2 linked regions of the Drosophila melanogaster genome follow. The protein of the gene in region 1 purifies or fractionates together with the protein of each later gene. This does not show direct contact. Each region holds a gene or a part of one and is shown on either strand. Other genes may lie near its edges. The genes, in order: CG11247 and fabp.

Evidence for each region.
Region 2: the proteins of CG11247 (region 1) and fabp purify together in Drosophila melanogaster (affinity purification with mass spectrometry, with the first as the bait; one large-scale study listed by BioGRID). This does not show direct contact.

The regions. Positions count from the first base shown.
Region 1 is NT_037436.4:21,719,442-21,735,843, forward strand, and holds CG11247 (uncharacterized protein), read right to left. Parts: upstream 9,366-16,402; 5' UTR 9,010-9,365; exon of another isoform or gene 8,952-9,009; 5' UTR 8,846-8,951; intron 7,497-8,845; 5' UTR 7,298-7,496; coding exon 6,722-7,297; intron 6,510-6,721; coding exon 6,114-6,509; intron 6,055-6,113; coding exon 5,458-6,054; 3' UTR 4,885-5,457; downstream 1-4,884. Other genes in the region: Polr2H (RNA polymerase II, I and III subunit H), read left to right, coding at 9,752-10,201; CG14570 (uncharacterized protein), read right to left, coding at 10,301-10,987; CG14569 (uncharacterized protein), read right to left, coding at 11,493-12,080; CG14568 (uncharacterized protein), read right to left, coding at 13,496-14,011; CG14573 (uncharacterized protein), read left to right, coding at 14,690-15,268.
Region 2 is NT_033777.3:11,557,447-11,574,837, forward strand, and holds fabp (fatty acid binding protein), read right to left. Parts: upstream 9,609-17,391; 5' UTR 9,542-9,608; coding exon 9,472-9,541; intron 7,666-9,471; exon of another isoform or gene 7,369-7,665; coding exon of another isoform or gene 7,338-7,368; intron 7,266-7,337; coding exon 6,994-7,265; intron 6,926-6,993; coding exon of another isoform or gene 6,875-6,925; exon of another isoform or gene 6,612-6,874; intron 5,847-6,611; exon of another isoform or gene 5,654-5,846; intron 4,851-5,653; exon of another isoform or gene 4,755-4,850; intron 3,760-4,754; coding exon 3,628-3,759; coding exon of another isoform or gene 3,406-3,627; intron 3,347-3,405; coding exon of another isoform or gene 2,719-3,346; 3' UTR 2,450-2,718; downstream 1-2,449. Other genes in the region: CG10898 (uncharacterized protein), read left to right, coding at 989-1,238, 1,311-2,083; sea (scheggia), read right to left, coding at 2,719-3,346, 3,406-3,731; Mrp4 (multidrug resistance protein 4), read left to right, coding at 12,312-12,388, 13,581-13,666, 13,729-13,876, 13,940-14,115, 14,169-14,359, 14,822-16,416, 16,484-17,391.

The sequences.
Region 1 (16,402 bases):
CAAAGCCGGGGAAAGAGCCTGGTCTGAAGTCAAGATCAGAGCCATATGTAGGGTCTCATAGCGCGGAGCTGACAATATCATTAAATATTTATGATGGCACGGCTGAGCAAGGCCGGCCAGCGACTAATCCCTAATTAGATCTGCCCGCTTCGTTTGCGTACTTAGCTGGAAAAACTGTCAAGTTCTTTGCCTAAGTCTTTTGTTATTTTCTTCGAGACGAACTGAAATTTTAAAAGGCTTCAAGAAGAACTGAAAGTCCAAAACCAAATTCCAAAAATTCGTTGTCCTTATTTATATCAACTTCATCTCTTTGAATTTCCTGGGACGCTCGATCTGGCATAAAGTAGGAAGCCCTAAGTGAGTCGTAAGTTGTGGCCTTCCCTTCTGGGGCCACCGGTATGGGTATGGGCAGCTTGACATGATTACGATGCAACCCACAGCAATACTATTTGTTATCTTTATGCGCTGCCTGCTGTCACTCGAGGCGGACTTCCTTCGCGATGTCGATGTAGAATCATGAATTGAGCCTTTGCATGCGCCAGTGACAAACGATGATGCTTCCGTGCTCATCTTTCCATCGGATCTTTCCCATTGCCCCGCGAAGTCCCAGCCAGAATGGCATAAATTCTGGGCAAGCAGGCGAGGAGGTGCTGGTGGTGAAGGAGCAGTAGGATCTGTTGCTGCGACCCGCTGGCTTTCATTTCTAATTTTTGCATTTGGTCCATGGCTACCGATCGGCCCGGAGTTGCGATCCGTGGCCGGCGATGTTTTAGTGCATTTTATTGCTTTATTTGAGAGTCTGGCATTGCAACGCTTGTCAATTTTACAACTTTATAGAGGAGAGCTCTTATCGTTTGCATATTTATGCATGATCCTCTTCCGATAGTCTGGCCAATCCCCATACCACAAGCCCCAAAATGATTCTGTTGCTGATTCTCGATCCTATTCCCGGGCCCATTGTCCATGTCTCTTAATATTTTTGACATATTGGCCGGCCCATAAGTCTGGTCCCTGGCCGAGAAGCCTCTTATTGTTGTTTGCTCCTTCCCCAGACATTTTCACAAAAAGGAAATGGCAACAACAAAAATGAAAACAACAACAACAACAGGAACAATCTTAAAGAAACCCAGAGGACTTGAGTCCGCTTTTAGTGTCTGCGTTGCCTTCTCGCATTTGAATTGCAAATCCTATTATGACTTGTGAAATTATAATTTTTCTAGTTGCCTGGCTGAAGTCCCCTTGCCCATCACACCCCCCCCCCCTTGCCACTACCACTGCCCCACCTCCAGGGCCCCATGTCCATGTCCAGTCATAACCGCAGAAGGTTCAATAGCATGAATTATGCATATGCAGACGGTTTCGTTCTTTTGGTTTCGTTTCGTTTCGGGAAAATCACAAGCACACGCATCCACATGAACTTAGTTATGATAACGTTGCACATTTCTGACTCCTCCGTGTCCTAGACAAAAACAGAGACGCGGCCGCTGAACGCAGCTCTTCATATTTGTTTTGGCCAGAAAAATTACCCAAGCGAACAGAATCTGCAGTGATATTATATTATCACTGATTTTATTTAAATATTTTCCAGTCTGTGTGATCAACGCGAAAGTGATCTGATAAATTTGTTGCAGGTTCTGGCTTAACATGTCATACAGATCTTAACTCTATTAAATATAATTAATATACTACTACGTATTTCAGGTTTATTTCTCGCAGTGCCGATCGTATGGTTTATGCGTAGCAGCTGCAGCATAGATGGAGATGGAGAAGACTCTGACGACGCCCCCTCTTTTGGGTTGCTACCGCAAAACTCTGGCTGGAGCTCTTTTGGCCTTAACTGGGCCCAAACCTTGGGCCCGAGACCCAACTGGATTTTTTACTGGTGCTGGTGCTGTGGCTGATGCTGATTCTGGGCTGTTGGACTGCAGCAGGCCTTGCTGACAGAACAAAGAAGTCGTCCATTTGTAATTGTTGTTTTGATGCTGTTTGGCTGTTTCTGTTGCTGTTGCAATAAGGGCAGCGCAGACATGGCCAAGGATTACCACTGCAACACACTTCCCCATGCCGTACCCATAAACCCATATACCCATACTCATACGCATGCACAAAGCCATTCTTAAAGCAAAGTCCAAGCCCAATCTCAATCCCGTGCCCAAGACCAGAGCTTTGGCTATACAAACCATCTGTAGACTTGTACTTTTGCTAAGGCAATCCGACTGCCCAGGTCTGCATACTTTTATGACTTTTGACTTGACTTTGACTTGCCTCCTTAAACGCCCTGGCCAGCAGAAGTTGAATGACCTCAATGACTTGGCTCCCCTTGGCTGAGATCCAAAAATCTCTCCTCAAAGCTGACCAATTACAGGTTACCAGCATATATTTCCAAAAGCAATATGTATTAAATCCAAATCATTTTACGTGTAGAATAAAATATAAATGGTTTAGATCATAGTTCGCAAATTCAAAATAGTAATGTAACAATAATTTAAATGGTTAAAAAATAAAGATGTACGTATCGCTCTTCATGAAAATAAGTACACAGCCATAAAAGTAGTTTTACGATATTTACAAAACTTATAAATTCTTGAAAACTCGACTTAGCCGCCGAATGCAAAATGAGTCTAGTTGAATTCAAATGCTCTGTGAAATTGGTTTCACTTGGGCATTCCCAGGCAATTATGAATGTCTTCTCTTTAGCCCCTTGCCGATGACGTGGGCTACTGCAATTTAGCTGGCCAGTTTCCCAACTCCGCCTCAAATTTGATGTCAGTGAACAATTCCACTTGAACTTTTCCGAGACTAAGAAAAGTGGTATGACATTACCCCAATGCCAGAGTAAATTCTCTAATAAGACGCAGACAACAAAAGAATTATATATGCATTACATAATGCCAAACAAGCTAACGCAAATGATAGCGACCAAGCATGGACTAAAGCCAAATCAATTTGCTACACAGTCCACAGGTCCCGAAGGGAAAACGGAAATGGAACTGCTCCTCGGAGGCTCACGAAACGGGCTGCTCCTCCGTGCTCTCATCATTAACATTGTCCCGGTCAAATCTAGGTATGCTGATGAGGCTGAGCCACCAACGAGCCCTGGCCAACAGGCGAGACATGCGTACTTACGTCTGTGACTATTTGTTTCACGAATTCGTGGCGCATTTTACTTGGAAAATAAACAAGCAAATCTAAACGAAGTTTATTGAATTTCATATACTCTTCTTAGGAATATTCTATGCCAAAAACCATGATGAAACGAAGGTTGTAAAGAATTTATTAATTTACTTGGGAACGATACCAGTTAAACTTTTTGCTAATTGTAAGTAATTGAAAATTGAAGTTGAGTTGAAAATATTATATTATTTCCCATAATATTGCAAGTAAATTGTAACGACTAACAGCAATGATATTGTCCTCCTGTATACAACTGAACAAGTTTTCACATATAGCCGATGGATCGAGTGTGACTGCTCTCTAACCAGCAGAGGCATTCCGTCCGTCGGCCCAAACATGGCAAAAGGCATGTCCATCCTTCCTATCGCAACAAGAGCAATTTGTTCTAATGCGCCATGGCAGCGGCAGCTGCTGGAAATGGCGAGACTAAATCTGTGGAAGAAGCTGAAGGAGCTGGAGTGCCTGACTTGCAGTTGCCACGGTCGTGGAGAAGCAGGAGGACATAGAAGTGGCAGTGGGCGGTGGGCGGTGGTTGCTGGTTGGTGGGAGCAGGAGTAACCGAGTTAGCTGAGATTGCAAAAAGGGCAACCACTGAACACGCAACGGCCAGAACAAATGTAGACATTAAGCTGCTTCCCGGGACAAGAAATCGAGATCGGGAGCGGGAACGGCATGGGGTGAGATGGGATGGCATACCGGCGGAGATTACATCAGCAGCTTCAGGTGACAGACACGCAATGGTATGGCCGGAGGAAAATCCCAGCCTGCTACCCAAGCGGGGTATCATAAAATCATAACTATATTTGACACATAAAATTGTACATACATCTCGTGGCCAAGCAAATCCTTTGGGTTGACACTAACGGTCGCGTCAATAAATTCGCCGTGCAAATTTCATTAATTGCTCCGGGTGGGTGGAAGGTGGCGGACCGGAGGAAGTGGCGCGGGCAGGTGCCACAGCGCCTGCAGATGCCACCGCTGCTCAGAGAGCTCGGTTCGCATGCAGTGCGGGGCTTGCCATAAAAAATATTGGCCACCTTAATGTAAGTGGCTTATAAATTTGTGCACAAGCCCAGACCATTTATGGCCAACGGGCAGGGACCCATGGGGCACTTGTACCTAACTGTTTATGTGGTTAGATGCCAGCCCGGTTGGGTGTGCCTGGGTGTTTCTGTGCGACTCGTTGCTCTTTTGGCCGCATTCAAATATGGAATGCAGCTTCCAGCCGGACTTGAAATTCCATAGATGAGCCTCAAAGGTCAAAGGCACGCAAGCCAGGAGATGCAGAAAATTGATTGATTCAAGCCGTGTCGCTTCCTAAGATGCTAGTCGAGATCCTCAACTTCCAGACACCAGCTACAGCAAGATCGAAAGTTGACTGAAATAATATGTAAGGCCTTTGCCATTTGTTGTAGACGGCCAAAATCCTTTTGGAATAAACATAGAAACTTTCAATAATAATAATAAAAACCAAAATTATTAAATTAATATTAATATATTCAAAAGTGTGGGAGCAGCTTTGTGGGATAGTGGACGTGCTCACTCTTAGTTAAGGGAATGTGTTCTTTTTATCATTCGTTCTCATAAACTTTCTCTAACTCTTACGTAAGCTCGCAGACTTACGAAATCTTAAAAATAAGCGAAAATAATACTTGCTGCAAATTGTTTCATGATTAAAAAGTCCGAAAAACTAATATCCAGTGTTGGGTTGTAGTCACAAATAATATTTATTATTCATTTCATTTTTTCACTTGCGTATTTTGATTTGCATTTCAGTTGTACACTTCAGATTTTGCACTTTTGTTGGAAAAGACAAATGGCAACTAAATGCATTAAGCTTATTAATTTTACAAGCATGGCCACAATGAGTTGTATTGTACTTGAGCTGTTATAGATTCACTCCGGGACAATCTGTTGCTCTGGCAAGACTAAGCATACAAAAATATTTCAGGTTTCAATCGTGTTATGCCTATTATTTTATAAATTATTGCATCGAAATTCGTTCTTAAACTAATTTCCTTTAATAGGGAAATTATTATGACAACACTAACTCATACATTCTTCAAATTATACTTTTTGGTAGCAGCAAAATTGGGATTAAGGGTAGTAATTCATTAAAATGACCTGTACTACAAAGTATATATCTTTGGGATAAATTATTTGGTTGGGTTTCGTTCTGCAACTTTGGGTTACTAAACACTAAACTAAATGGCAAGAACTAGTTCTACAAATCCTTCTTCTATGGCACACTCGCATTTGGCGTTGGCTATCAACTCCTGGATTCTACTTCTGTTTCATATACATGGTAGCAATTTTCTCAAGAATCGTGTCTATAGACAACAATTCGTCGCTGAATTTCTGCATAGTGGGGGCTGGCACAATCCACTTAAGAAATTCCTCCACATTTAGCCGGAGTCTGGCCAATGGGGTCATCGTGGCGTCGTCATGGGATTGTCGCTGAGCCAGCTTCAAGGATGCAATGATAACGTTATCGATTAGACGCTTCTCGTAGCCCAACTGGCGCAGCTTTTGAGCGGAGCTAATTTTCTTCAGTACCACTGCCATGTTAAATCTTAAGACAGAGAGAATTTGCGCATCTTCAGACTGATTGCCACTGGGTTTGTCCCCGTCAACTGGACACTTGGCGCAGTGCTCAACATGCGACTGCAGCTCCACCTTGATCTTAAAGAAATCGTGGCAGCCTTCGCACATGTAGGGCTTTTGCTGTTTGTGTATCTTCTTCATGTGGTTCTTTAGGTGCGCCAGCTGAGAAAAGGCTACTTCGTCTTCGCACAGCTGGCAGCGAAAGGGTTTTTCCCCCGTATGCTTTCGGATGTGCAGTTTTAGTACGCTTGAATGGGCAAAGGTCTGGTGGCAGATCTGATGGAAGTAGAAACATAATTTACGGCTGCATGCAAGCTAACACCCTTTCAACTTACCCTACACTGATAGGGGCGCTCTCCCGTGTGCATTCGCATATGGACATTGTACTGGCTTTTCTGGGTGAAATATGTGTTGCACACCTCGCAGACGTGGGTCTTAACAGCGGTGTGCCTCTGCATGTGAGTGGCCAAATCCTCGTCCGGCTCGATCATCTTATGGCATATCTCGCACTCAAATTGCGTCAGCTTGTGGTGCTCCTGGTTTATGTGCGCTCGCAGGGCCAGCTCGTTGGCGAATTGGTTCTCACAGATGCTGCACCGGTGCTCCATGCCCTGCTCGTGTCGCTCCATGTGCACCCGTAAATTGGCGTTGGTTGAGAAGCTGGCCGAGCACTTAGTGCAGTTGAACTGCTGGATACTCGTCTTGTGGTGAGAAACCATGTGCTGTTGCAGCTGCAATATAAATGATAATATATATTAGGAACACCAATGGTTAAGACCTATAAAAACAAAAGCCTAATAGAAAGTTCATTATTAAATACACTTATTTATATTTAATTATTATAATAAATATTATTATTTAAGTTTATAATAAATCAAATTATGAGAAAAATATAAAATTAATTGTTAAATCTCAGTTAAAAATGGAATGTCGTATTACTCACTTGACCTCCTCGGGCGAATTTTTTGTCGCAGAGGTCGCAAGGATAGGGCTTCTCGCCAGAGTGGAGGCGCATGTGGAGCCGCAGGCGCTCCTTGAGGGCGAATGATTTTGGGCACTGGGAACAAACGAACTGTTTCCGATGCTCGTGGGCGGTGGTGATATGATTTTTCAGGTTGACCGCCTGGCGGTAGCTCTTGCCACAATCCTTGCACTTGTGCGGTCGTTCGTCCGAGTGGATAAGCATGTGGCGCTGCAGATCCGTCTTGCCACCGAACTCTTTGGAGCATTGACTGCAGACATGGTGCTTGCGTTTCACCGGTTCGCCCTTTCGGGCAGACTTCTTAAGCTGCGGTTGCACGTAATCATCATCCTTTGAGTCCTGCTCTCCGCCGTCGTCCTCCTCCTCGTCCACACAAGCATCGCGCAGACTTGCCAAGCTGCTCTTCCTCCTTTTGATCGCAAGCGTAGGGCCTGGTGAGGATTCCCTCGCCGCCGGCGGCGAAGACAGCGATATGCCGCTGTCTGTGAGCAGAGAGACGGCATCCTCCTTGGACACACTACGACGGCTGCGTACCATTTGTTTGGTTTTTATTATTTGGATTCGTAACTAAATTTCTGGGGACCGCTTCCTGGGAAACACCGGCACCTGCTGCGTTTGTCTTTACTTCTAGGGTTAATGTTCTACGTATGTAATTTAGGGTATTCGTATTTTTTGGTTCGATTGCTACTTCTAGGATAGTTCCCATTCACCTTTGGTTTGGATTAGTTCAGATGGGCTGCAAAAAAAGTTAAGAGCTGTTTTAATTCTCCACTCGCCGAGCGCCACGTTCCGAAGCAGACGGAGAATCAAAAACACAGACAGAAATAGTAACCGCAAGTGAAGCCGAAACAGAAACAAGAAGAGAAACAGCAACGGAACAGAAACTCCAGCTGTGTCAACAGTGATAAGACCTATGCACAGGAAAAATATTACCAAAATTGGTGGATTTGCATATTTAGGGGCTTCGAAAAGCATGGCACTTTTTACGTTAATGCAATAGTTCTTACTATTTTTGCAGTGTTGTCGAAATCACTTGAGATTTTTAGACGTTGTTTATCATAATTAATTAATTAATTGCAATTCATTGGCTATCCAATTAGAAAATATATTCGTTTCTTTACAAATCTAGTTAACAACGGAAGGTTGTGGACTGTTTTTCACGGTGTACAGAGCTAGGAGCCCAAGTCTTGAAGTGGGTCGCATTATCAATTGACATTTCCAGCGAACGTAAGCTTCCAAAAAAAATTCTTAGTTTGTTGTCTTAATCTTTTGTTTGGGCGGGAGCGAGATGGAGAAACCGCCTGATAAGATCCCGAGGAAGGCAACAACTGATAAGCAATCCACCGCTTTCACTAAAATCACGGTAGAGCTATAAAAAGATATCGAGATAAAGCTGTGCAACCTGAGCGTTTTCGATCCCGCGGCGTCTGTTCTCCGAGGCGGCGGAGTTTCCAATGAAAAGCGAGAACACTGAAAATGCAACTGCAAGAGAGCGATTACGATGACCCTGGGCTGGGACGAACATCTGGCAAGCAGATTGGGAACCCTCCGATTCCGATTCCAGTGCCAAGCAACCCCCTCCCCCTGCGGAGGGTTAATGGTTCATTAGAGCCGCACCCGCAGAAGCTGAAAACTAACTCACTTTAGCAGCACAACGGCCCTCGACCAAACTGTTGAAAAAGCGAATTTAAGCTAGAATCCGCAGCTGGGAATCGAAATTGAAAGAGAACAGGGCAAAAAGCACGAACGACAGCGAAAATCACACACAAAAAGCGAAAATAAAGAAGTGAATACATAACAGCAGTTTTGTAATGCTAAATAGGCGGGGTTATGGGGGTGGGTAAGGGTTAAGGCGGCGGCGGTCGCTGGATGAGGGTAGGGGCCGTTGAAGTCTTTCGTATTCGGGGCACAAAACTCGACGACTGTGTAGTTTTCGGGGTCTTGCAACCGATTGTTAGTAATTAATGAACCAGCACCACAGCACTCATATACGTAAAGCAATCCATTATACACATATGCTACACATTTGGCCCAGGGGCTCCACATTCAACACCAACACCAAAGCCCCACCGGGCGTGGACTTACCTTCGCAAAAAGCAGGAGTCGCTAGGCTAAGGGCCTTCGATCCACAGGAAACTTAGCATCACCCCGAATGGGACACACCTGGACTTCCTATGCATTCCGCGTCCGACTATGAGTTCGCTTCTTATTTGTTTTTAATTTCGACACCACGAGCTGTGTGTACATACTTTTTGCAATCCGCTAGGTGGCAGTCCGACTGGCTCCTCAAGGTGTATCCATCGTGCTGCCTGCGGCTTAACCTTTGTGGGACTTTGCGGGTTTGCCGATTCTAAGCCAATACTGCGTTTTGTCCAGCAAAATAAATAACAGTTTTCGGTGGTTTTTCGATGTTGTTCTTAATGTTAGTGATGTGTATTCACCGATAGACGGTCACACTGGGACTCTCTGTCTGCGCGGCCACAGATGGGAGCGTGATGCACAGTCACTAGTTAGAGAAAATCCAATAACGTGTAGGTTGCGGCGCAATAAGTTATAAATAAGTTAAAAATCACATTGCGCAGTATCACTGCAATATTTATTGAAATTTCAGTAAGAACAAAGTGAGGCACACTTTGTTGAACGTGACTTCTTTTACACACTGAAATCACAGCCTGCTGAACGTGACCACTTTGCTCACTGAAATCGCAGACGTGTGGCAACACTCAAGCCGCCAGAAAGATCTGGCATCTCTCATACTTAACACGCGCATGCAAAATATTTAAGAAATAAATATTAGTCGCTAACAGTTTAAATATAATAAAATTCTGCTGATATAAACCCAGTTCATAAAAGAACACGCATTTACCTCCGCATATAAGATCAAATACGTATAAAATCTAATTAGCCGACTCAAGGTAAGGCGTGCGTTTTTGGAGCTCCACTAAACTGACTTCAAAGCAATAACTCATCAAATACTACATTTCAGTTAAAATGGCTGGAGTACTCTTTGAGGACATCTTCAACGTAAAGGACATGGATCCGGAGGGCAAAAAGTTCGACCGTGTATCCCGCCTGCACTGCGAGTCCGAGTCGTTTAAGATGGACCTCATCCTGGACATCAACTCGTGGCTATACCCCATGGAGCTGGGCGACAAGTTCCGCCTGGTTTTGGCCACCACCCTGCGCGAGGATGGTTGCCCGGACAGCGGGGAGTACAATCCAATGGAGCACGAGGGAACGCGGGCGGACAGCTTTGAGTACGTGATGTACGGCAAGATCTACAGGATCGAGGGCGACGAAGCACACAATGAGGCCTCCCGGCTCTCCGCCTACGTGTCATTCGGCGGCTTGCTGATGCGACTTCAGGGTGACGCCAACAATCTTCATGGCTTCGAGGTGGACCAGCACATGTACCTGCTGATGAAGCGGCTGGCCTTCTGAATTTTCTACCTAATTATTTTCGATCGCAAATTAGACATAGACAACAAACTTTATTTACAGTGTATTCATGACATTGCTTGGAGTGCTGAAAGAAGTAGTCTATTGCCTGGATGGGCGTCTGAAAGGCGCATTGACTATCAGGCGAGATGGCCGTGGGCGAAAAGGAATGTGGCGATCCACGAAGGGCAAAGCCTGCGGAGTCGATGGGAACACTGGAGTAGGCCTAATAGCATTCACAATCTTGACCGCATCTGGCCGACGACGAACCGTAAGCTTAGCCGGCCGTCGCTGCGGAGTCCGCAGAACCGGACGCTGCGGGCGGAAGGCAGAAAGTCGGTTCAGAAGCGGCAGAACATACTGAGCCTGGGGTGGTAGCGGCAGACTTGCCAAATTAATTATAGCTGCGCTTTGTGGCAATGTGTTGGAGCTGTCATCATTGGCTGGCTGGTCTGGAGGTCCGTAGGTCTGATCGGGAGGTCCATAAATTTGGTCCGGTGGGCCGTAGACCTCAGCTGGCGCTTCCACCAAAGACGGTGGTCCGTATGTTTCAGGTGGAGGGCCATATGTATCCTCCGGTTGAGGAAATTCAACCGCCTCCTCCGTTGGCAGGTCGAATGGCGGATCGGGGACCAGGCCTGCTGGTGGATATGGGGCTTGTTCCTGTCTTTGCAGAAACCTTCCCGCCGCGGGTCCTGGGAACCTCAGATGACTGCCTTCAATTCCATTCAGGCAAAGAATGGAACAAAGCGCAAAGGTGACCAGAGAAGCACTTGGATAACCGGACATTGTGGTGTGCTGACATGAACTGCTGCATGGGCGGCTAAGTGGCGCCTATAAATACCCCCTAGGAATGCCCTTGGGAACTGCCCAATTCAAACGCCCGAAGAAACCTCGAGGCCGATGACTTATAAGCCAGGTCCAACGATACGTGCCCATGGAGGTGGTGACTAAGGCGCGTGTAAGTACTGGCTGTTATGAAAATGTGTGGTTAGATTTCTTTAAAAGGGAGTGCTTATACAAAATAATTGTATATTATTTTTACACAGGAATAAAAAAAATAATAAATATAACGCTTTCCTATTAGTTTCAGTATGGATTTCATTTTAAATTGAATTTTGTAAGTAATATTTTGTAAATATATTTTCTGTGTACGGTGAGTGCATGATATCGTTAGAATAGATTCCAGCCCTGTATCAAAGACACTAGAATAATTATTCTAGAGTCTTTGCCTGTATGATATTTCCTTAAGTCTGACGCAGTGACGTATTTGCTTACGCTAAAGTTTTAAAGTCTACCAACTGCGACGCAGGATTAGACGCTGAGGAACGGGCCTCTGGGAACGCCGTCCTTGCGGAAATCGCTGGTAGAGTCGGGCGGACTGGACGGACTGTGGCTGGTCAAGACTGCTAGCTACAACGATCACAGTGCCATCCTCAGCAACATCCAGCTGCGGTTCATCCTCCTCGGCGTCCTCATCAGCGGGCTGCAGCTTGGCACCGTCAACCGATGCTTCCTCAGTCTCTGGAATATCATCAGTCTCGATGGGATTCTCTGGTAGCGGCTCAGCCTCGGGAGCAATAGCCGGCACGGAGTCGGTCTCTGGAGGTCCATAAGTGTTATCTGGTGGCCCGTATGTGTTGTCCGGAGGTCCATAGGTGTTATCAGGCGGCAGATAAGTGTTCTCCGGCTTGACAGTCGAACTGGGTAAATCGAAGGGAACACTCGGGGTGATGCCCGCCTCCGGATATCCGGTGGGCGAAGGACTGGGTATAGCCTCCACTTGGCGCGCCAAGAACCTCCGGCGGATCGGCTCCGCGGAGCTCAGCGCCAACAGGCTCAGGACAAGAATAGCAATTGGTGCGCCAGTCGGTTTAAACATTTTCGCGGTTGAAGGGCTTCTGTTCTGATTTCTCGATCCGACACGACGTATTTATAGCCCCAAGCTACCAGATCGAATTCTGCTATAATTTATGCTCGTCACTTTCAGTTTCAGGCTCTTATTCCCGGTAAAACTTTGATTATGTTGCGCTGATCGGCGGCAATGTAGCTTCAGCTTAATACCCGATACGTGACCCTTTTTCGAAATTGATTTTCCAATGCTATGATTTGGAATAGGCCACCCTTTCCCTCCTTCGCAAATCATTCATTAACACTTGGAGTGAGCTGTGAACACTCGAGTTTGTTTGGTTTTGGGTTCTTGGCAGTTCATAATTTTATTTGATGAACTTTGTATTCATGCAAAACAGAATAGGCTGTGAAAAAATCCATCAAGCACGCACTTTTAAAAGCACGTCCCACCCATTTGCAACATTTGGACAGTTTCAATCAGGGTCGATCGAATTCAAAAACAATGTTATTTACTATTAGCTTGGCTTTTGGAACACTCATTTGCCTTACCAAAAATTATTATATTCTGAGCTTTGAGTTTTTATCATGGTAAGTGAAAATCGGGTTAAAAAATATAGTATTCATACTCCTTACTCGTAGAGTAAGATGTGTTGAAAATTATGTAACAGGAAACTTTTCCGACCATATAAAGTATATACATATATGATCAGGATCAATAGCCGAGTCGATCTGGCCATGCCCGTCTGTCCGTATGAACGTCTCGATCTCGGGAACTATAAAAGCTAGAGGGTTGAGATTAAGCTTACAGCTTACAGCTCACAGCTTCTAGAGAAACGCCCACTCTAACGCCCACGAACCACACAAAACTGCAACGCCCACACGTTTGCAAATTGTTTTGACATTTTGCATATTTTTATTAGTCTTGTAAATTTCTGTTGATTGACAAAAAAGTTTATGCAACGCATTTTATTCACCAATATCTATCGATATTCCAGGAAAAGTATGCAAGTTCGCGTTCGCATTTCCACTAGCTGAGTAGTTGGTATCTGATAAGCAGGGAAGCCGAATATAGGATTTCTTGTTTGATACTGCTTGGACAAGATTTTTAATAGATAATAGAGCACAGGGTAACTTGTAGTTGAGACTCCCGAATCACTTTTGTGATTTGATCCTGATTAAGAAAATAAGATCTTAATAGAAAAGCAAATGCGTTCATATATCTGTTAGCTCCAACAACAAATTAAATATGTTTTGCTTCACTAACAACAAGACAGACATATTTTGCAATTTTCAATTTATGACAAAAGGGTGGCTTGAATATTAACGCAATTATTTTATTATTTAAATTAAAATATTCAACAACAATTTATTTAGCGACAAAGTAATAAATGCATATCCTAATGAGTCGATTCCATTTGATTTCTAGCAAATTAGGGTTGACCCATTTCAGATGGTGTACACCAGAACTGATCCAGAGCGGATAATCTGAGCGGATCGAAGCTTCTCTGGGGTCGGACGACGACTGAGGAGGCGTTCGTTACGAGGCTGGATCAAGCCGGCGGGCACGGGATCGGCAGCAGGGGCCTGGTCCACTGGGCCATCAGCCGGCGGTCCATAGGTGTTTTCCGGCTCAGCAGGTGGTCCGTAAGTGTTATCGGGAGGGCCGTAGGTGTTGTCGGGCTCATCTGGGGGTCCGTAGGTAAGATCAGGTTGCGCTTCAGTCTCCGTGGGCAGGTCGAAGGGCACCTCCGGTGTCACTCCTGCTGGCGGATAAGGGGCTGAGGCCGGCGTAGGTGCAATATCCACGGCGGGGTCGGCCGGAACTGCCTGATCCCCTGGAGCCTGCTCCTGACGGGCAAACTGCAGGCGGGAAAATCGTCCCCGGAATCTGGTAGGCTCTGCAACAGAAACGGCAGCCATGGCTGCGATCAGGAGCAGGGAGCAGATGAACTTGTGGGCCATGTTGAGCTGCTGCTGAGTTGTCTTAGAATGTTGTCAGTGGCTGCCAGTTTCGCGCCTTTTATACCAACTGAAGTTTTCGGCCACTCGGGTATATTTGGCTCACCGAGGGACACCCTTTCGTTGGCCTACGGACGTGACAATATTTAGTCAAGGGCCCATGTCTAAGCCATAACCATTGGCCGTTAATTATAACCCGCGGGCACTTAACTTTGACACTTTACGTGGAACCACTGCGGATGAGGAATGGGTTGCAACCAAAGAAGTCGAACTAGTAACGAATGTCATTCGTTGACTTGTATGTTTTCTAACGTAATTCTATAATTTTATAAATATGTCATTACTTTAACTGAGCTAATGAATTTCTTTCTAACCTACTTCCCTTTTTATATACTAAGCATGTGGCCAATGGTCCACATGGGCATGGGCAACTAGGGCTATAGATCTGCTAGCACTTTAAATTCCACTCCACTGTGCGGCGCCTGCTTGACATACAATGCATACGCATTGATGGATTTCAAATCGCGGCGCTCTGCTTAAAATTCACGGCGTTGTTGGCTGGGCTAGAATCGCTGACCAGTGACCACCGATGAGCAGGGCCACCGCTGCGGCACTTGGAAGTATAAAAGTTAAAGCTCCATATACGACAGCAAACACAGCTCAACTGCTAGTCCCACGATCATGGCACGTTACCAGTTTTTCAGTTCGCTCCTCCTCCTGCTGGCGGCCATCAGCGCGGTGAATTGTGCGGCACAGGCACCACTTCGGCGGACTCTGCGCCTGCGTCCGGTGGCGTTCGCCCGGCAGGAGCTGGCTCCCACCCCCTACCCCTCGGCTGCTGAGCTTAAACCCGCCGCCGAACAGCCCGCGCTGACCTACGGACCTCCCGAGGATGTGGATACAGATGCCTTGCCTTCGGAACAGGATCCACCAGTGGACACCTTCGAGCCTAGCCCAGAGAACGAGGAGGTGGACACCGAGGAGAGCTCACTTGAGGCCACCACACCATCCTCTGCTCCGGCCCGCCTGCGCAGCCGCCATAGATTGGGCAAGTTGCAGCTGGCTAAGCCAAAGCTGCTCCGCCAACGCACAGCTCGCCTGGAGGAGCTGCCCGTGGATGCGGCTGTGGCTCCAGTGGCTTCGCTGGTTCCAGTAGCTCAGGCTCCAGCACTGGCCACGCCCCAGTTTTACTATGTGGGTGCCCAGCAGCCGTATTACCTGGCAGCCTACAGCGCTGCTCCCCAGCAACTAGGCTGGTAGTAACGCTAGTTGCCTTCTCTTAATTTGTTCTGTTTGGATTGCAATTTGTTGTTAAAAATATATTTCTGCTAATATGTTTAAAAATGGTTCGTCTGCTTGTTTTCCTTACATTTTAAGTAAACTCAGTCCAAAAAGTCTAAATAGAAACCAGTGATATGATAAGCGAAACTAATTAATAAATTAAATATCCCGACTCCAATATCAAACAAATAAGTTATCATTTACGTAAATAATTTAGTATTTCGTATTTAATCAAAACGTATTATGTGAAAGTAAGTGGAGAAGGGAGGATAATCAGCAGTGTGCTCATCTATACGTGTCAGTCCATCTGACTGTGTTATTTTGAATTATTAATAATTTATATTATTATTCAACATCTACCGATTGTCGAGAAATAATAATTGCATGAGAAATAATTGCTTTTAATGGTTAATATTAAATTGTCGAAATGGATGCAAATTTGTTTACACACAGCTCAAAGATTTCAGTTCTCTAAAATTCAGTGCAAGCCATTTGCCTTTAAGAAAAACTTATATCAGACCTATTCTGGACGAACTCCTGTTCGGAATTCTTTGCATATCCTTGACATGTGAATTGCCTCGGAAGCGTTTAAAGGGTTCCTTGTTCCCATCGCATACTTTTAGCGGATTTGTATGGTCTTTTGTGAAAGGCTTCCCATTTCCAATGCATTTTTAATGCTTTGTTTTATTCTAGTTATAGTGGCTGGGTCACCAGTGTAATGGCTTGCTAAGATATTTTTTAGTCTGCGCAATATGATTGGTGAATGGTGGCCTTTCAACTTGATGACGGAGCAGTGTAAAGGATCATACTTACGGACATTTGGTTTTAATATTTAAGTTATTCTAAATATTAAAAATATTTCGGTACGCGGACGGACCGACACGGTAAGATAACCTCAGCTAGTGATTCTGGTCAAGAAACCTTATACTTTATAGCTTGTTCCTATCGGTTACCTACTTTTCAATGAGTCTAACACACCCCTTTACTCTAAGAGTGCCGGGTATGCACATTTAAATGACATGCATAAACACACCTTTGAACACATAAATAACACATACTTACCATTTTTAATAGAGCATTTTGTAAGGTTTAAAGCTTATATAAATACCCTCA
Region 2 (17,391 bases), on another chromosome or scaffold:
TGATTAATTAATTTTCTATAACGGTCGTTGGGGTTTTAAATTTTCGCAGTGGGACCAGGCTGGGCGTTAAATACCAGATGGGAAAATGCATTAGTATTTTATACTAAAGTACTGTGCTATGTGCAATTGATGTGTAATAATAAATACGAAGCAGATTAGGTATGATTCCTTAAAATCAATTATTTATTCAGGCTTTGCATATTAGGCCATAAAAAGATATAGTCGAAATATATTCCCAACTGCGATAATTCGAAACTAGTGTAAAGGGGGCCTTATCGAAGTAAACAAACCCGCAGCGTTGCCAGATGCTGCGCCAAGAACAAAGTGGCCACTCTGCCCTCTATTTACTAACAAAATTACTTGTTCTTGGCCGCACTTGCAAATCAATTAGGCCATAAATGGCATTGCAATAAATGAGTGTGCACCACCTAATGACCCATCGATAAACGGAGCTGTTAAGTACCGCGACGAGAAGAATAGCGAACAGCTGGCGCAGACGGAGACGGAGACACATTCCGATGCACTTTCTCCTGAAGAAAACCCGTCGAGCGGCTTATTTGACATCCATTTCGATATCAATACAGAGAAATAGAGAGAAATAGCAAGAAATAGAGGCCACAGCACCACCAGCCAGCCACCTGTGTAGCGACAACAAGCGACGAGCTGCAAAAACAACAACAAAAAGTTGATTGCCATCGTCTTGGCCATTTTATTGGGCATTATAGCCGCAGTCAGTCACATACCGCCCGTTCTCGAGTTCGCCACGATTGCTTAAACTGTTTGCGTTTGCAGAGCACAGAGCACTCCAAAGAATTCGTAATTTGCATATATAGAACCTCAGAGATATATGCAGAGATTCCGACTGGGCGTAGCATGTTCAGCGAACTGAGTCAGCCGCCTTGAAATTTAGCGCTTAAAGTGAGTTTCAGAAGATACCAGTTGTGCTTTGAATTTCTAACGTCTTAAGTGGATCATTTAGCAAAACAGGATGGCTTCGATTGTGGAGAAAGTGCGTCGCATTTTGGACTCAAAAGATCTGGGCGACATCACAACGGAACTGTGTGACTTTTCTCTTAAGGAACAGAATGCCACCGCCGAGGCCCAGGGAGTACAGCCCTCATCCGCATCCGATTTTGTGCCCATTCTTGGACAGACAGTCACCTATATTGTGGCCTGTGTGTTGATCAATGAGCACGACGAGCTTCTGATGATCGAGGAGGCCAAACAGAGCTGTGCCGGTGAGTAGGAAATTCCGAATGTCCAAAACCACAATTCAAGAACCATCTAACACGTTGCACTCTATTGACCAGGCAAGTGGTACTTACCCGCTGGTCGCATGGAAAGGGGCGAATCCATCACGGAGGCAGCCGCCCGGGAAGTTTTCGAAGAGACTGGTCTAAATGCCGAGCTGACCACTCTATTAGCGGTGGAGGCCGCCGGTGGCTCTTGGTTCCGCTTCGTGCTCACTGGACGCATCACAGGCGGCCGACTTAAAACTCCTGCGGATGCAGACGCCGAATCGATTCAGGCGAGATGGGTGCGTAATCCCAAGGAAGTACCTCTCCGAGCCAACGACATACTCAGTATCATTGAGATTGGAAGGGCGTATCATCAGGGGCAAAAGATTGCCATTAGCCCTTCACCCTGGCATGGGACCATACTGCCCACACGTTTCGCCCACAAACGTAACTATCTGCGGGTTCTGGCTGTAGCCAGAAAGCGAGCACACAACTCGCTGAACATCCTGGTCAGTGAAAAGAACGCCCACCACTTTCCCACGGTCGAACTGCATCCGAATCGCAGCCTGCACTCTACGCTGCGCAAGTTCATGATTGAGATTTTTGGTGCGGAGCTGCCACAGCATCGACCACATGGCTTACTTAGCGTGGAGCACTCAGCTTCGGAGCAGGAGAACACTGATGGAATATGCCTTAATCTGCTGGTGGCTTTCCGACCGCCACTGGAGGAAATCTCGCTGATCGGCAAGTGCATTTGGCAGGAACTGGGTGCGCCACTTGACGAGATGCTGGGACGTATCGTCAGCAGCAAGAACGCATCCATTCCGCTGAATGTGGTGCGCTAAAATGCCTTAGACTAGAGTAATCTGTCCTTATTTATGGTGCAAGCAATCTATCCGTTGTTAGTTGCAATTAAAGATAGCAGATGTCTGCCAGATGTCCGACTGTAAGGCAAATGTTTCCCTCCTTGGTGCTAAATAGTGAATTACGTAGATAAGTCTCTGCCAATCTGTCATAAAACGCCTAGAAGTAATCTTAACCTCTTAACCCATTCCCCTTTCTTGGTGAAAGATCTAATCTGAAGTTTACTCGTTTGCGTAGCCTAATCTATTCTAGAGATTTACTTAGAAAACTGTTTACTATTATATAGTACCAATTAAAATATTCACGTTTTCATGCGAACTAAATAATCCAAAAAGCCTTACCTATTTCATCCAGTCTAGCTATGATTTATATGGGAACTTCAAATAGACTCTTCAGATTTAATTCAATTTTTAAAACAAGCTGTATAATTTCTATAGCCACTTACCCATTGCGGGTATAGAGTGTATATAAAATGCTTTCTTGGAATATGTCACAAAACTAGAAACTATTGCAACAGTCGACTAGGGAACAATGGGAACAGAGGAAAATGCACGAGTGGGTTTTTTGGGGTAGAAGGATGAACTAAGTAACTAAGTCGCCAAGCCGAATCGCCGAGTTACACCCACACCTTGTTGAACAGATCCATGAAGGAGTCGTAGATCATAAAGGTGATGGCCACATCCAGGCACACACGACCTAATCTTGGCACGGTGCCCTTGTAGAAGGCGGCGGGACCTTCGTTCTTCAAGATCTCCACCGCACAGTGGGCAGTGTTCTTGTATTTCGATGCTTCCAGACCCTGCATCCTCGTCTTGACCACATCCAGCGGCGTATTACCGAACACAGAGGCTGCTCCGGCGATAGCTCCAAACACTCCAACCACCAACTTGGGCACTGGCTTCGTGTGATCGTCACCCTTGTACAAATCCTTAAGGGACTCCAGTACGAAGAAGCGAATGGCCTGGTTGGAGCCCTGTTTCAGAATGGTGGGCGTTAGGCCCTTGTAGATACCAGAGATGCCCTCCGACTTGATGATTTGGCCAACGCCGTGGGCGAATCCCCTGAACTTGGGATTGCCGCTGCGCTGATCGTTGATGAACTTCACCTTGATGGTCTCCATCGGGGTCACTGCCACGATGGCCTCACATACGCCAGCTCCTAAGCCGCAAAGCAACTTTCCGGAGTTGCTCAGTTGTCCTCGGGAGTCCACGGCGTTCGATTTCAGGAATTCAAAAGCACCGAATCTGAAAGTTATCTTTTAATCAGCAAAACATGAACTATAACCAAAAGTTATATAACTTACCTCGCCGCTGACTTAGGAATGCTGCCGTAGACGAGCACACTGAGACCTCGGTAGAGACCCAGGAATCCACGTTCTCCCACCGTCTTCTTAACGCAATCAAAGATGCCGTTGTACTTCTTCGCCGCTCCCTTCTCGTCCAGCTGCAGTTGTGTCTTCACATACTCGGTGGGATAGGTGATGCAGATCTCGATGCCGCCCGTAATACCGCCGGCGACGATGCCCTTAAGGCCCACCTGGCCGCTGTCCGCAGCCGCCGCTCCGTGCTCCGTCATCCACGGACGTCGGCGGTACGGGCTGACAAGGGACGCGAAGGCGGAGCGATCCATGCTGACTGGGTGTTAGGTGGGGAATTAGCTGAAAGAAAATAGTAGAATTCATTTATTGTACTGAGTGAATTCCAGCTGATTTCTGTCCGATTGAATGTTATTTATATCCTATTGTTGTAAATGGATCAAAATAGACTCGTTCTGCGTGGGTGCGCGGATTTCAAAATATTCCCCAAAACTTGTATGAAAATATGGCATTTGTTCTTCATAGATAATGATATCTGAAGTATTCCTTATCATCTATTTAAACAATTTAACTATATCTGTGACGTACAATCGTGAACCGCGTATCTATGCGAATATCGACCTTAATTATCGTATTAAATGTTTGTTTAATTGCAGTTCTGCTCTACTAGTTATGCAATTTCTATGAGGAAAAGAATTCCACTTGGCTGGAATGGCTCCAGCGGGCTCCAATTTAAAGTTAGTAATCAATGCCATTATCATAGGTAACTTCCCATTGTATCGTTGACTCTCTTTTCCCCCAAAACATATTCATTTCACCTTGGGGACAAGGTTCGAAAACTGTGAACGAAGAGTCGACAAACTAACACAAACAGAGCGAAAAACCAAATGTTCGAAAATCTCAATAGTGATTACTTAAGATCGGGTGATATAGTCTGGGACGGTTTGAGTGGGAGCGGTACTATATCAATATCAGCAGGCTCGTTGGTTGTTTCGCTCTTTGCACTTGACAAATTAATATTGTTTCAGTGCGATTACATAACTTTTGCATGACCATAAATTATAATCGCACACAGTTGCAAGTTCATAATTATTCATTTTATGCCGCTGTTTAAGCCAATTTCCGTATCGGTCTGGAAATCTGGATAAACATAAACAATACCCACTGATAAGTCGGCACTGGAAAGTTTCTACCGACTTCCACACACACACACAGACTTCAAAAGCGGTTGATTAAGCCCACACCCACACACTCAAAGCGCACTGCTGTCTGGCAAAAGTCGCGCTTAATTTTTGCTCATGCAGCTTTGCTATCGGGTATTGTTCTCTACTACTCACATTAGAATTCAAAAAACCGAAATAATTATAATTTTGGAAAGCCCAGGCAGCGGTGAAGTGAAGTGGCGATGGGGACAGCGGTTGAATCTCAACTGATCGGGGCTACGAAAAAATTCCATTTTCCAATCGACGAGCGAAAGCGATACAGTGCATCCCGGAACTAACGGACTTTGGATTTTCAGATCCAACAGTCAGCAGTCCGAACAACTCTATCCCAATAGATTTAAAATGGTAGATTCTTCTAAATATCAAACTTTTTGTAAAATAAATTGAATCGATAGACTGAGCACGCTATTCTCTATAGTTCACTGCATCAGGGGCGCACTGTAATTCCAATGGTCGGCGTTTTGTAAACAACAGCACTTCAGCGGTATCCACTCTCCCCGCGCTCAGTAATGTACACAGTAAAATATTTCTATTTTGAAAATCAATCAGAAATTGAAAATAAAAGAAATGATACGTGGATCTATCTAGTAAACGATCCTAAACGAGTAACATACACATACATCAGTTCGATCCTAATAATGGAATATTAAGTTTCTAAAGATTGATTCCACATTGATAAAGGTATTTTGATAGCTATATAAGTGCGTTTCGATTACTTTATGGAGAACTTTTTTCTGTGCAGAGAGTGCGAAGAGTAGCGCCAAAGTAACGTTTTTTTGCTGACACCGCAGTGAAGATCTCTCTTTCTCTCTCTAATCGGAAACCCGTTTGTCCAGCAACAACAAAGTGGACAGAGCTTTTGGGGCGGACTGGAAAAGCTCCGCTGAAGAACAACAAGAAGAACATTTGACTTTAAATTTTGAATGTTAGGTACGCCGCAAAGTAGACCAACATTTTTTCTTTAGCGATTACACAATGAGTTCACACACACACAATGCGCGTAGCCTACGCACACCCACGCGGTAGTTTTATCCAGGTTATCAGAGCATTTAGTGCTACACTAATAAAATCGATAACGGCGCTTTTGCTTTTTAATTTATAACGCCCAATTGACCAACAATTAAGTGTCTACTATTTACCGACTGACGCAACTCGGCGTCATGCGGATACACGTAGTTCTAACGCCGCCGGCAAACGACGAATGTTAACAAAAAAAACCCGGCGAAAGTGTGGCCGTGCTGCCAACTGTCCGCTGATAACGTGTGCGCTTGCGCCAGCCCCCAAATGCAGCAGATGCCACCCACCCACACTTGTGGCACGCACTTGCAACAGACCCCATTCACACGAACAGTGCAAAAGCCCCAGCAGCATTGTGTTTTATACTCAATTAGCAAGAGCAAATGCATCGCAACGGAAACGGAAACGCGTGGGCAGAACATCCGCAGCCCAAAAGCAAATCAGAGACCATTCAGACTTGTGCCTCTTCTCTTTATACATACAACTTCAATAAACGATACAATAAGAAACGATAGTAAGAAACATGCTTTCTATAACCCCAAAGGTGGAATTTCTTTTAACAGTTTGAAATTTGAAACTTTATAATTCATATCGATTCAAAAATATGACCTCCAATTGAAAATGTAATTGAATTTGGTATTCTCGATCCCTTTAGCCATTGAAAATATGACACCCTACGAATTTCGGGATCCTTAACGATAACTTTCAAGCCAAACTAAAATATCTGGCATTGTTCGCCTCACAAACAAGCCACTTAAAAATTCTTTTTTAGGTAGGAACTAAAATTATTTCGATGAAAACACGTTACTTGCTTACTCACAAAACCGTAAATTTGGGAAATAGTTGGAAAAATGCCAAAATATAAATTTATAACTAAAACTAATATAATTTTGATTGCTGTGTCTAAGCTTACATTTCGTCATTAACCTAAGCAACAACAAGCTTAAAAGCGAAGTGTAAAAGAAAGTCGGAATGTTTTAAAAGCACTTCAAGTAATAGTTTATTCAAATGCATTCGGAAATTGGTCCCCGAGTACGAGGAGTATTCCCACATACACCGACTGCGGGTGTACGGGTGCGATTATAAATTAACATTGGGCAGAGCGTGCAGTTCCATTTGATTTGGTTTAGTTCACTGTTAGTCAACAAGAATATTGGCTATCTGAGTTAGTTTTAATGCATGTAGTCGTATGGATATTATAGTTTTAGATCAGTCTCTTAGACGGCCTTGTAGACGCGCACGCACTTAACGTTGCCGATGGTGAGGGTCTGTGGGGGAGGCATTGGATCAGTTAGGTGGGTGTGATGATATACGGCAAGGTATAGTAAGCGCTTACGGTGATCAGCTCGTTGTCGGTGAACTCGCGGACGATGGTGGTGGGCTTGTCGCCCTTCTGCTCCTGCGTCAGCTTGTTGCCATCCAGGGTGATGATGCTCTTGACGTTGCGACCGTCCAGGGTCTCCTCGTCGAACTCAACGCCCAGCTTGAAGCTGATGGCAGAGGTCTTGAAGGTGGAGGTGGTAGTCAGGGTGTAGGTATCGCCCTCCAAGGTCACCTCCACTGTGGGGCTCAGGCTGTTGCCCATCTTGCGCGTCACCAGACCGACGCCTGCAAGTGGAAAGGGAAAAGAAATTAATGAAGTTCCATCTCACGAGAATGTAAGGAAATCAAAGATCGCACCGAAAGATGAATGATGGGGCAGACTGCACATAATTGAATTAGCCCAACAAAGTTGGGGACCCCAAAGCGCTCACAATGCAAATCATATCATATTTAATTAAAAATAATAAAGCCGAGCCATGAAGTTCCCTGCAGATTCCGTTCCGCTGTAACGTCAAAAGTCGTGCTCAAGGTTAACGAACAATGCGGGCCGTCGTCTCCTCCCTCATCCTCATCTCCGCTCTTATCAATTGGCAAGCCCCTCCATGCATTTAAATATAGATCTGGCAAAGCACCACCTTATCTCGGTGCAGCATTCCATATATACATATGTTGTTTGAGGGCAGAACTGTGAATATAAATGCCATTCAAGCAGTGTAAATATATATTTTACTGGCTTAAGTGGTCAAGATCCATTTTGCTGACGTTCCAAATCGTAAACCTTTGAAGTGCTGATAATTACCATCGAAAGATAAGCAAAGCAATTCCATCATTAAATGATAACTTAACGATTGTGAACAATCAATCGTGTTTAAGTACTAAAATTTGTCACTTAATTTTATGGGACTTGTAATTACTGAAATACTATATGCATGCACGTAGCTGTATGAGTAATTTTGCATTTATATTTTTATTTGAAAGAAGTTTCGCCAAATGAAACGTTGAATCAAAAACAAAGTGTGAATCACTGGTACCTTACGAATGTGCCAGCAAATAGGGCACATGTATTATTTCCAATCTAGTACATTGTCAGACATCAAACCAACAAGTGGTCCAATCAATTATGTTCAATTATGTATGGACCACCACCAACTTGTTCTTTTGTCCAGTGCCCTCAAGTCAAGTGTCAACTGGCGTGGCGCGATAAGTCGCCAGGTTCCCACTCATGGGAACCCAGCAACTGTACCAGAGATCGATTTATATGCATCGTATATGACAGGAGAACCTTGAATAGATTAGACTGGCCTGCAATTGCGAACCGTGGTCTATGATAGGGGTGGCTGCCCAAAGTGCAAAATCCGTAATCGCGCCTAATTATCGTGCCTTTTGCGACATTGTATATACTACAAATGTGTGTACATAAATAGGCATATAGTTTATCGCATTTATATATGTACGACAACTGATAAGTGCTGCGAGGCCCCAACGGCAGGTTGATTTTAGATTTGTTTGGGCTTGAAAATTGAGAAGTACGTGGCTTTCGGACCAAGTCTACCATTAAACCGAAGCCGCAAAGTGTGTAGGCGAAAAGTTCTGACGAACTGGTGGTCTGGTAAATAAATCTGGACGCCCGTCTCTGGTTACCAAATGCCACTAGTCCCTATGGCGCGTCTAGACAGGAAGCGATGGTATTGATCAGTTTTAGTGGCACCATATAGTATAATCACGATTGCAATAGAAATTGCACTTTGATCGGTAAGAGAGTCGAATGTGTCCTATATGTAGTTTATATCTGGTGTTTCATTGTTGTCTAAATTGACAGCCGGGCAAAGATCATCGCAGCTATAAAGCTTGTAGTCTAGTGCAAAGTTCACTGCGAGACTTTCTCCCAAAATCTAGTACACAAATAGATAAAACCTGTCGCAAAAGCTAATGGCACTATGATGATTTCGGTCCCATGGAAAGCTGACGGAGGTGACTCAAAAAAGGGGAGCAAAGTTCAGGCCCCACACTTAATTAGTTTTTGGGTTTATGACTACCGCAGATAACCATTTACGGATTTTATACTGCTTGTCCTCCGATTCGCAACTGTAAAGTTGAGAAAGAGGGTGAGGTGAATAACTGGAGCACGTTTTTATTGCTGCAGATGTGCATCTCTTTCTCTGGTCCTATTCTCTATTGATTTTATCTGACACACACATACGCACATCAGCAGATTCAATGAGGTGTCAATTTATGCATGTAGCTAAACTATTTTAACAGTCGAATTCATTCATAATCTTCAGTTGATATAACATTTTCCGGAAGACATTTACTTTTTTCCCTCTCGTTTGGCCAATGAAACTTTTTGCACACTAGTGCGAAAAATGCCGGCCGGTCGATTTTCGGTGGCGTGTTTTCGGCTTCTTTTCTCTCCCTCCACTCCCGCTCTCGCTCTCTCGAGCACTTTGGTTTTCTATTTTTGATGCACTGCGAATTAGTTTTGGCAACTTACCCAGCTCCTTCATGTACTCATCGAAGTTCTCGGACTTGTCCAGCTTGTACTTCTTGCCAACGAAAGACATTTTTGGAATATTTGGTCTGTGTTCTGCACAAGATGTTCACTGTTGAAATTTTCTGAGCGAATGAAAAGCTCTGCGGCGTGCCGGCTGTTATATACTTTCGCGTTGCGGCTACGGCATTGCCAGATGCAAGTTAATGGCCTCTCGCTCTCATTTGATTCGCTCTCGTTCTGCGGCACGGCTTTTGCACGTTTCCTTTTTGTTTGTCTCACAAATTAAAAATTTAATGATGTGGCATCGGCTGAGCATCGGATTACCAGATGCAAAGCCAAGTACAGCCGCCAAGGTATCGAAATGTCGGCGCCAAGCCGTTGGCGCTCTTACAAAAAGCAGCTTTTTTAGGCGCTCTCCAAAAAAAATATTAACGGTTCTATGGGGGCCACCACTCCCCCTCACACCGCATATTGGTAATGGATCGGACGTGTTACTGCCACCCAACGTCTGACCAGCTCCTCCTGCTCCTCCCAGCACCCAAGCACCTTCACCTTGGCGCGATCAATTGGCTGCAGCCTTAATTGGTTCAAAAGCACCGGCCTAATAACGAACGCCACATTGTCATGCTGACAATGGAACTGCAATGTATCTCGCATTATACAGTCAAAACTTGCCTATTTTGGCGCGAACTTTAAACTTTTCTCCGAATTTCAGATTACGCATTGGGAAACCCAATGTGTGCAAGTAAGGAAGGGGAATTTATTTGAAACCCAGACTATCTCACTTTGTAGTACAAAATTATTATTAATATAATATCAAGATTTAAAATTTTAACATACATACACACGTATATTTTATTTAAAAGGATATCCGTTATCCAGGTTTCTGAGTCTCGACTGTTCGCCCCCCATATATTCCGAATTAGTAGACTTTTTTCTGTGGGTCAGTGGCACCATTAAAAGAATCTCCCGAGCTTCTACATTTTACCAATGTGTATAAATAATTTTCGACACAATTCGTTTATATTATTGTTATGAATAACTCTTGATAAGTCGCCGGTGAATTGTAATCTAATCGAGGACTTCCTTCCACCCATGGTCAGGCAATGCAATATTGAGATTACCCACGATCTCCATAAGCCTGCCCATCCCGTGGGAGGGCCCACCTACATGGATACCGACTTGTTTGTTGCTAAGCGTTATCTTATTAATTCAATTAGTCCATGATCCCGCACCCCCCTCACCGATCATCCTTATTATTGCATTGATCGTCATAAATAAAAGAGATTACGGGGGTTTGCCACGAAACATACTTATGTACATAATATGTACTACATATATTATTTATGTATACCAATAATAAGTAACGTCTTGATCAATACAAAATATGATATACTCTCAGTATATCTTTATATATATACTTCTTAATGTGTATTATTTACTGGAGTGGAAGAGCCAGTCGAGCTTTTTTAGTTTCGCCAGTGACTTGAATTTGACCGACGAGATGTGGGCCCTCCAGGTCAGTCCCCGATTTAGATGAACTCCTAGGTAGCAGTGCGATGTGACATTGTTTCCATCAAAAGTCAGATCTGTGCAAGTTCCGGGCCGCAGGGTAAAAGTTACACAGGCTGACTTCGAGGAGTTAATGGCCACATTCCATTTGGCAGTCCATTTTTCGACTGCATGCAGCCATTCCTGGACTGCGTTGAAGAAACATGCATTTAGTCATTCGGAAACTTTAAAGCCCGAAAGTATGCAGCACAAAATCGTAATATCAACTTTTCAAAAAACCTCAACTAACAGCTGCGCTCAACTAGTGCGGTAAAGTAGTTAATAATAAAATTTGGATTTGTAATGGAATGGACAAATAATGAGACCGTGCAACAGCTGTTGCGTTTGTAAAACTTTAGATACAACATCTATTATCTGATCCTAACTTTATAACTACAAAGTCCAAAGAGTCAACAGCTTTATCGGACATGTTAGAATAATGTTTGCCAGCACCATAAAAGTGTCGTATCATTGTTACACGTTGGTTACTACTGCAAAGTGTCGCGCAAAACGAGGAAAATATAAGTTAACCTGCTTATCACTAGTCTCACTAAAGACTAAACAAATAACCCACAAACAAAAGAGATCGAGAATAGTGCTATGAAAGAGCGATATAAAGAGAGTGGCAAAGAGTCTAGTGTAATGGAGAGCCCACCAAGAGCATTGGAGAGCACCCACAAAGAGCGCTGATCTTAACCTGGCACAACACCTACCCAGAGAGTGACATGTATTTAAGGTGGAGCCCGAGAGCGGATCGGGTCAGAACGAGTCGGACCTTCGGAGCGAGCAGATAGTCGTGGGTAGAGTAGCGCGCAGTGCCATGTGTACTTCGATACGTTCGCGATAAGTAAGATGTGCTATGAACTAAATCACATACGAAATACAAGGCAATCTATGACGAAATACGCCTGCAACAGATAGAAATACCGAATATCTCCGCGTGAAGTGATCTTTTTTGGAACCGTGATCTCGCAGCAGCACTTCTTCCAATCCGAATGCCACGCAATATTGAAGTCTGCATTGTGCCAGTGGAAAAGTTTACTTCCCGCAAACGTGAATAGAAATCGAATTCGTAGATCGGAATCTGAAATCGCTCGCATTTCCATCTGGTTTCTCCTCGGCTAATGCCAAACTAATTATATTAAAATAGAGCGCGTGTCCCCTTTCGTATCGAAAAGTGCTAATCAACCGCCGTCGTCCAAAGGCAATCCCGGTGACCGAGCAAGTCCCCTGTACTTGTAATGCTACACTCTATATAGTGCAATTTAGCTCCAATCAGTGCAATCAGCATGCAGTCGATGAAAGCCGATGAACTGCCGGAGAATCCACGGGAGCGATCCAGTCCCCTCTCGTCACTTATGTTCTGGTGAGCGTAGAAATTATATCTTTCTGGGCATTTCGAGACTAAATTTTTATTTCTTTTTAATTAAATGGTTTGTCCAACCATCTCATTGCAAAAAGAATAGAATATATATATGTATATGTATGTGGGTTATAAACTTAATAGCTCTAATAGAAACCAGTTTACAAGTCTATTAATACACATATTCAAAGATCATGGCATTGTTAGTAAACTAAAATCGAACATTTTTTTTCGGCGCGATGATAAGAAAAAAGCACCCATTGATGACTAGTTTAGGTGTTATTTATTCATGTGCTTTGTTGTGTGTGTGTGTGTGGGGGGGGGGGATTTGGGGAGCATATAACGTGACAACACTGACAAGTTGATTATTTCATTCAATGGTTCGCTTAATTCGCGTGACCGAGGCGACAAAATCATTTTGCATTTCACGGGAGCTCGGATTCCCATTCAATTGGTTACCAATTGAGGGCGACACTTAGCTAAGATCCATTTTCAAAATTATTCCAGAGGAAATCTAACAGCGCTAGGTACAGAACTAGATATCCAAAGGGGAAAAACTGCTGACAAATGTTATGAATCATTGCGATAGAACACATAAACTTAAAACGCAACAAACTAATTTTGATGTACAGCTTCTGATAAGATTCCTTTTTGACATAACAGAATTTGTTTATCTTCGGCTAACGTATAGAGCTTTTATTTTTTGTTTATGTAATGTAATTATTTAATAACATATAAGATAAGGAACTCTGAACTGTTCTTTTGTGTCCGCGTATCGTAAGATATAGATTCATTTGCGTCAGCAAATATGGATGCTGTGAAAATGTACATACATGTACTCTTTTATTAATAAAACATTCGGTTTTACTGAGATAAGTACGGTAGTTATTAAAATTGAACTTTGTATGGGTTTTGCGCAGTTGCATAGAAGTTTAATTATTATTTCTGTAGTCTGTGAAATTTGAGCTTTGAGGAAAAAACATCATTCGCTTCTAACAATTTTGACCGTGACATACTCGCTTTACAACGCTGCATTGGATAGCAACTGTTGTCAGTTGTTGTCAATTGTCTGTTCGTTCGTTTTTTACTTTATCAGTATCATTGCCTGATAACAGACAGTCTTTCGCTAATTATGTTTTTATTGTACACCCAATAAAAACTACCTACGTAATGCTGTTGCCGATCCAACGTGAAGTTTTGCCCTACCCGTTCTGTTTAAAGGCCGCAAGAAGACGCTGGAACAAAAGGATCTATATAGAGCCCTCAAAGAGCACAAATCGGGTGAGTTCTTTGATTAATTTCCATTCGCAGCTATATTAATGGGTATCATCTTTAATATATAGATTCCCTGGGAGATCGGTTGTGCGCAGCCTGGGATGAGCAGGTGGCGAAAAATGAAACTCCACGTTTGGGTCGCGCCCTGACGAAAGTGTTTGGCTTTCATTTGTTCATTACGGGAGTATTCCTGCTTGCCCAGGAGTTTTTGACCAAGTAAGTGGGTTCTGAACCATAGAATCTGAAATAATACTTACCAATCCACTTATCCAACTACAGAGTCACCCAGCCCATTTGCCTGATTGGAGTGATGGCATACTTTGCCGGGAATGATCCGGATCGCTCCAAGGCCCAGTTATGGGCAGCGGGTCTTATAGCTGGTTCCGTGTTTAGTGTGTGTATCGGTCATCCCTATATGCTGGGTCTACTTCATCTGGGCATGAAGATGCGCATTGGTAAGTGCTGATTATCTCAGCTAATCCAGATGTTAATCCTCTCCAAATTGCAGCACTTAGCAGTCTAATCTATCGCAAGGCCCTGCGGCTGAGTAGAACCGCTTTGGGTGACACCACAGTGGGTCAGGTGGTCAATCTGCTGTCCAACGATGTGGGTCGATTTGACTTGGTACTGATCAACGTTCACTACCTGTGGATAGCTCCGTTGGAACTGATTGCAGTTACCTACCTGATGTATCTCGAGGTACGTAGGTGGTCAGAAAATCAAATAGAAATTTTCTAGTCGAAAGCTCAAATGCTTAAACCTGTTCCGAATCGGCTCTTTTAAGTTTTTTTTGAGCACGGCAAGCTTTCAATGTCACCGAAAATTTGGTGGAAAGTTTTTTATATTTTGTTATACTTTATCATAATAATATTTATGAATGGACACTTATTTTCAATGTTAATTAAATATTTTTCTAATATATCTTCGATCAATCTTTTCCTGTTATGGCACCAATTGATAGTACGTTTCCTAAATATATATATGTAACTATCGAAAAATGTTTTTGTCATGAATACAAATATTGTGGTATTCCTATTAATTGCTTATCGTGTGCGGCCAATTAAGGAAGTCAAGTACATCCATTATTAATATCGAAATGAAGTTATACCCCGCTGAAACTGAATACAGCACATTTAGCAATATATTTTTCTGATATTTTAGATTGGCATATCATCCATGTTTGGCGTTGCTATAATGCTTCTGTTCCTGCCATTCCAATCCTACCTCGGCAAGCGGACCAGCGTTCTACGCCTGCGTACCGCTTTGCGAACGGACGAACGTGTCCGCATGATGAACGAGATTATCTCAGGCATCCAGGTCATCAAGATGTACGCCTGGGAGAAGCCATTCGGCAAGGTGGTGGAGATGACCCGCTTCAATGAGATGCTGTGCATCAAGCAAGTGAACTACATCCGCGGCATCCTCATCTCGTTTGCGATGTTCCTGTCCCGCATATTTACCTCCTCCAGTCTGATTGCCTTCGTCCTGTTGGGAAACATTCTCAATGCCGAGAAGGCTTTCTTCGTCACTGCCTACTACAATATCCTACGCCGATCGGTGACAATGTTTTTCCCGCAGGGCATCTCCGAGTTTGCCGAGCTATTGGTTTCCGTTAGGCGATTGGAGGCGTTCATGCATCGTCCGGAGACAAAAGTCAGGGATAAGTCAAAGGTCAAAAATGCCAACCAGAAAGCAGAATCCCCAAATGGAGACAGTCCTAAAGGCAATGGAATCCCAGAGAATTTGATCGAGTTCAGCCAATTTCAGGCTCGCTGGGAGAGCCATTCGCTGGAGCCCACTCTGGAGGACATCAACCTGCAGCTGGGTCGTCGAAAGTTGGTAGCCGTCATCGGACCCGTGGGCGCTGGCAAGTCGAGTTTAATACAAGCAATACTTGGCGAACTACCGGGGGAAAGTGGTACACTCAGGATCAATGGCAGTTACTCCTATGCAGCCCAGGAGCCCTGGCTTTTTACGGGAACTGTTCGCCAAAACATCTTGTTCGGCTTGGATTGGGACAAGCATCGTTATCGCACCGTAGTGAAGAAGTGCGCCTTGGAAAGAGACTTTGAACTATTGCCCTTCGGGGACAAGACCATAGTCGGTGAGCGAGGAGCATCCCTCTCCGGCGGCCAGAAGGCCAGGATAAGTTTGGCACGAGCAGTTTACCGACGAGCAGATATTTATCTACTTGACGATCCACTCAGCGCTGTGGATACCCACGTTGGGCGCCACTTGTTCGATCAGTGTATGCGCGGTTACTTGAGGAGTGAGCTCGTCATACTGGTCACTCACCAGTTGCAGTTCCTGGAGCAGGCTGATCTGATAGTTATCATGGATAAGGGTCGGATAAGCGCAATGGGGACGTACTCGTCTATGAAGCGCAGTGGATTGGACTTTGCCCAACTGCTGACGGCACCCAATAAAGATGCTGAAGATTTGGACGAGATCGATGGTGCAGGTGGTGATGGTCTAGACCTTCTAAATGTACCCTCGCTGAGCAGAAGGGGCAGCAAGAACAGTAAGCCGAGTACGCGAAACAATAGCTTCACTTCGTTGAGCTCCATGGCGGAGTCAATGGCCCAGGAGGCATCCTTGCAGATGCAGGAGACGCGAGTGGAGGGAAAGATCGGTCTGGGGCTGTACAAGGAGTATTTGACCTCGGGAAGCAGCTGGTTCATGATCTTCTTCATGGTCTTCCTATGCCTGGCTACTCAGATTCTATGCTCGGCAGCGGACTACTTCTTATCGTACTGGTAGGCAACAATTCCGCAATTTCCCCTTTATAGGATAGAAATATTTTTTTACCTTTTCTTTCAACAGGGTGGACAAGAACGTGGACGGTCAAACAGATATTAACACGGATCCGCAGGATATGTATTACTTTGCCGCGCTCAATGTAGCTGTTGTGGTGTTTACCATTGTACGGACCATGCTCTTCTACAAAATGGCCATGCGCAGTTCCACGCAGCTGCACAATGCTATGTACCAGGGCATTACGAGGGCTGCCATGTATTTCTTCAACACGAATCCATCGGGACGCATCCTCAATCGATTCTCAAAGGATCTCGGCCAGCTGGACGAAGTACTGCCAAGCGTTATGCTGGATGTGGTGCAACTCTTTCTCACGCTACTTGGCATCATTGTTGTGATTTGCATAACAAATCCGTACTACCTCATTTTAACCTTGGCATTGGCCATAATATTCTACTATATCAGGGAATTTTATCTGAAGACATCGAGGGATGTGAAAAGATTGGAGGCTGTAGCTAGATCACCTATATACTCCCATCTAAGTGCCACAATTACCGGATTGCCAACGATACGTGCCTTAGGAGCTCAGAAGGAACTTATTGCTGAGTTCGACAATTTGCAAGACCTGCACAGCTCCGGATATTATACCTTCTTGGCGACGAATCGCGCCTTTGGTTATTATCTGGACTGCTTTTGCACGTTGTATATTGTGATCATCATCCTGAACTACTTTATAAACCCGCCGCAAAGTCCTGGAGAAGTGGGTCTGGCCATTACCCAGGCAATGGGTATGACCGGAATGGTGCAGTGGGCAATGCGACAGTCGGCCGAACTGGAGAACACAATGACCGCAGTGGAACGAGTTGTGGAGTACGACGAGATCGAACCAGAAGGCGAATTCGATTCACGCGAGGGCAAAAAACCCTCGCCTAGTTGGCCTGAAAAGGGTGAGATTATCGCGGAGGATCTGTGCCTTC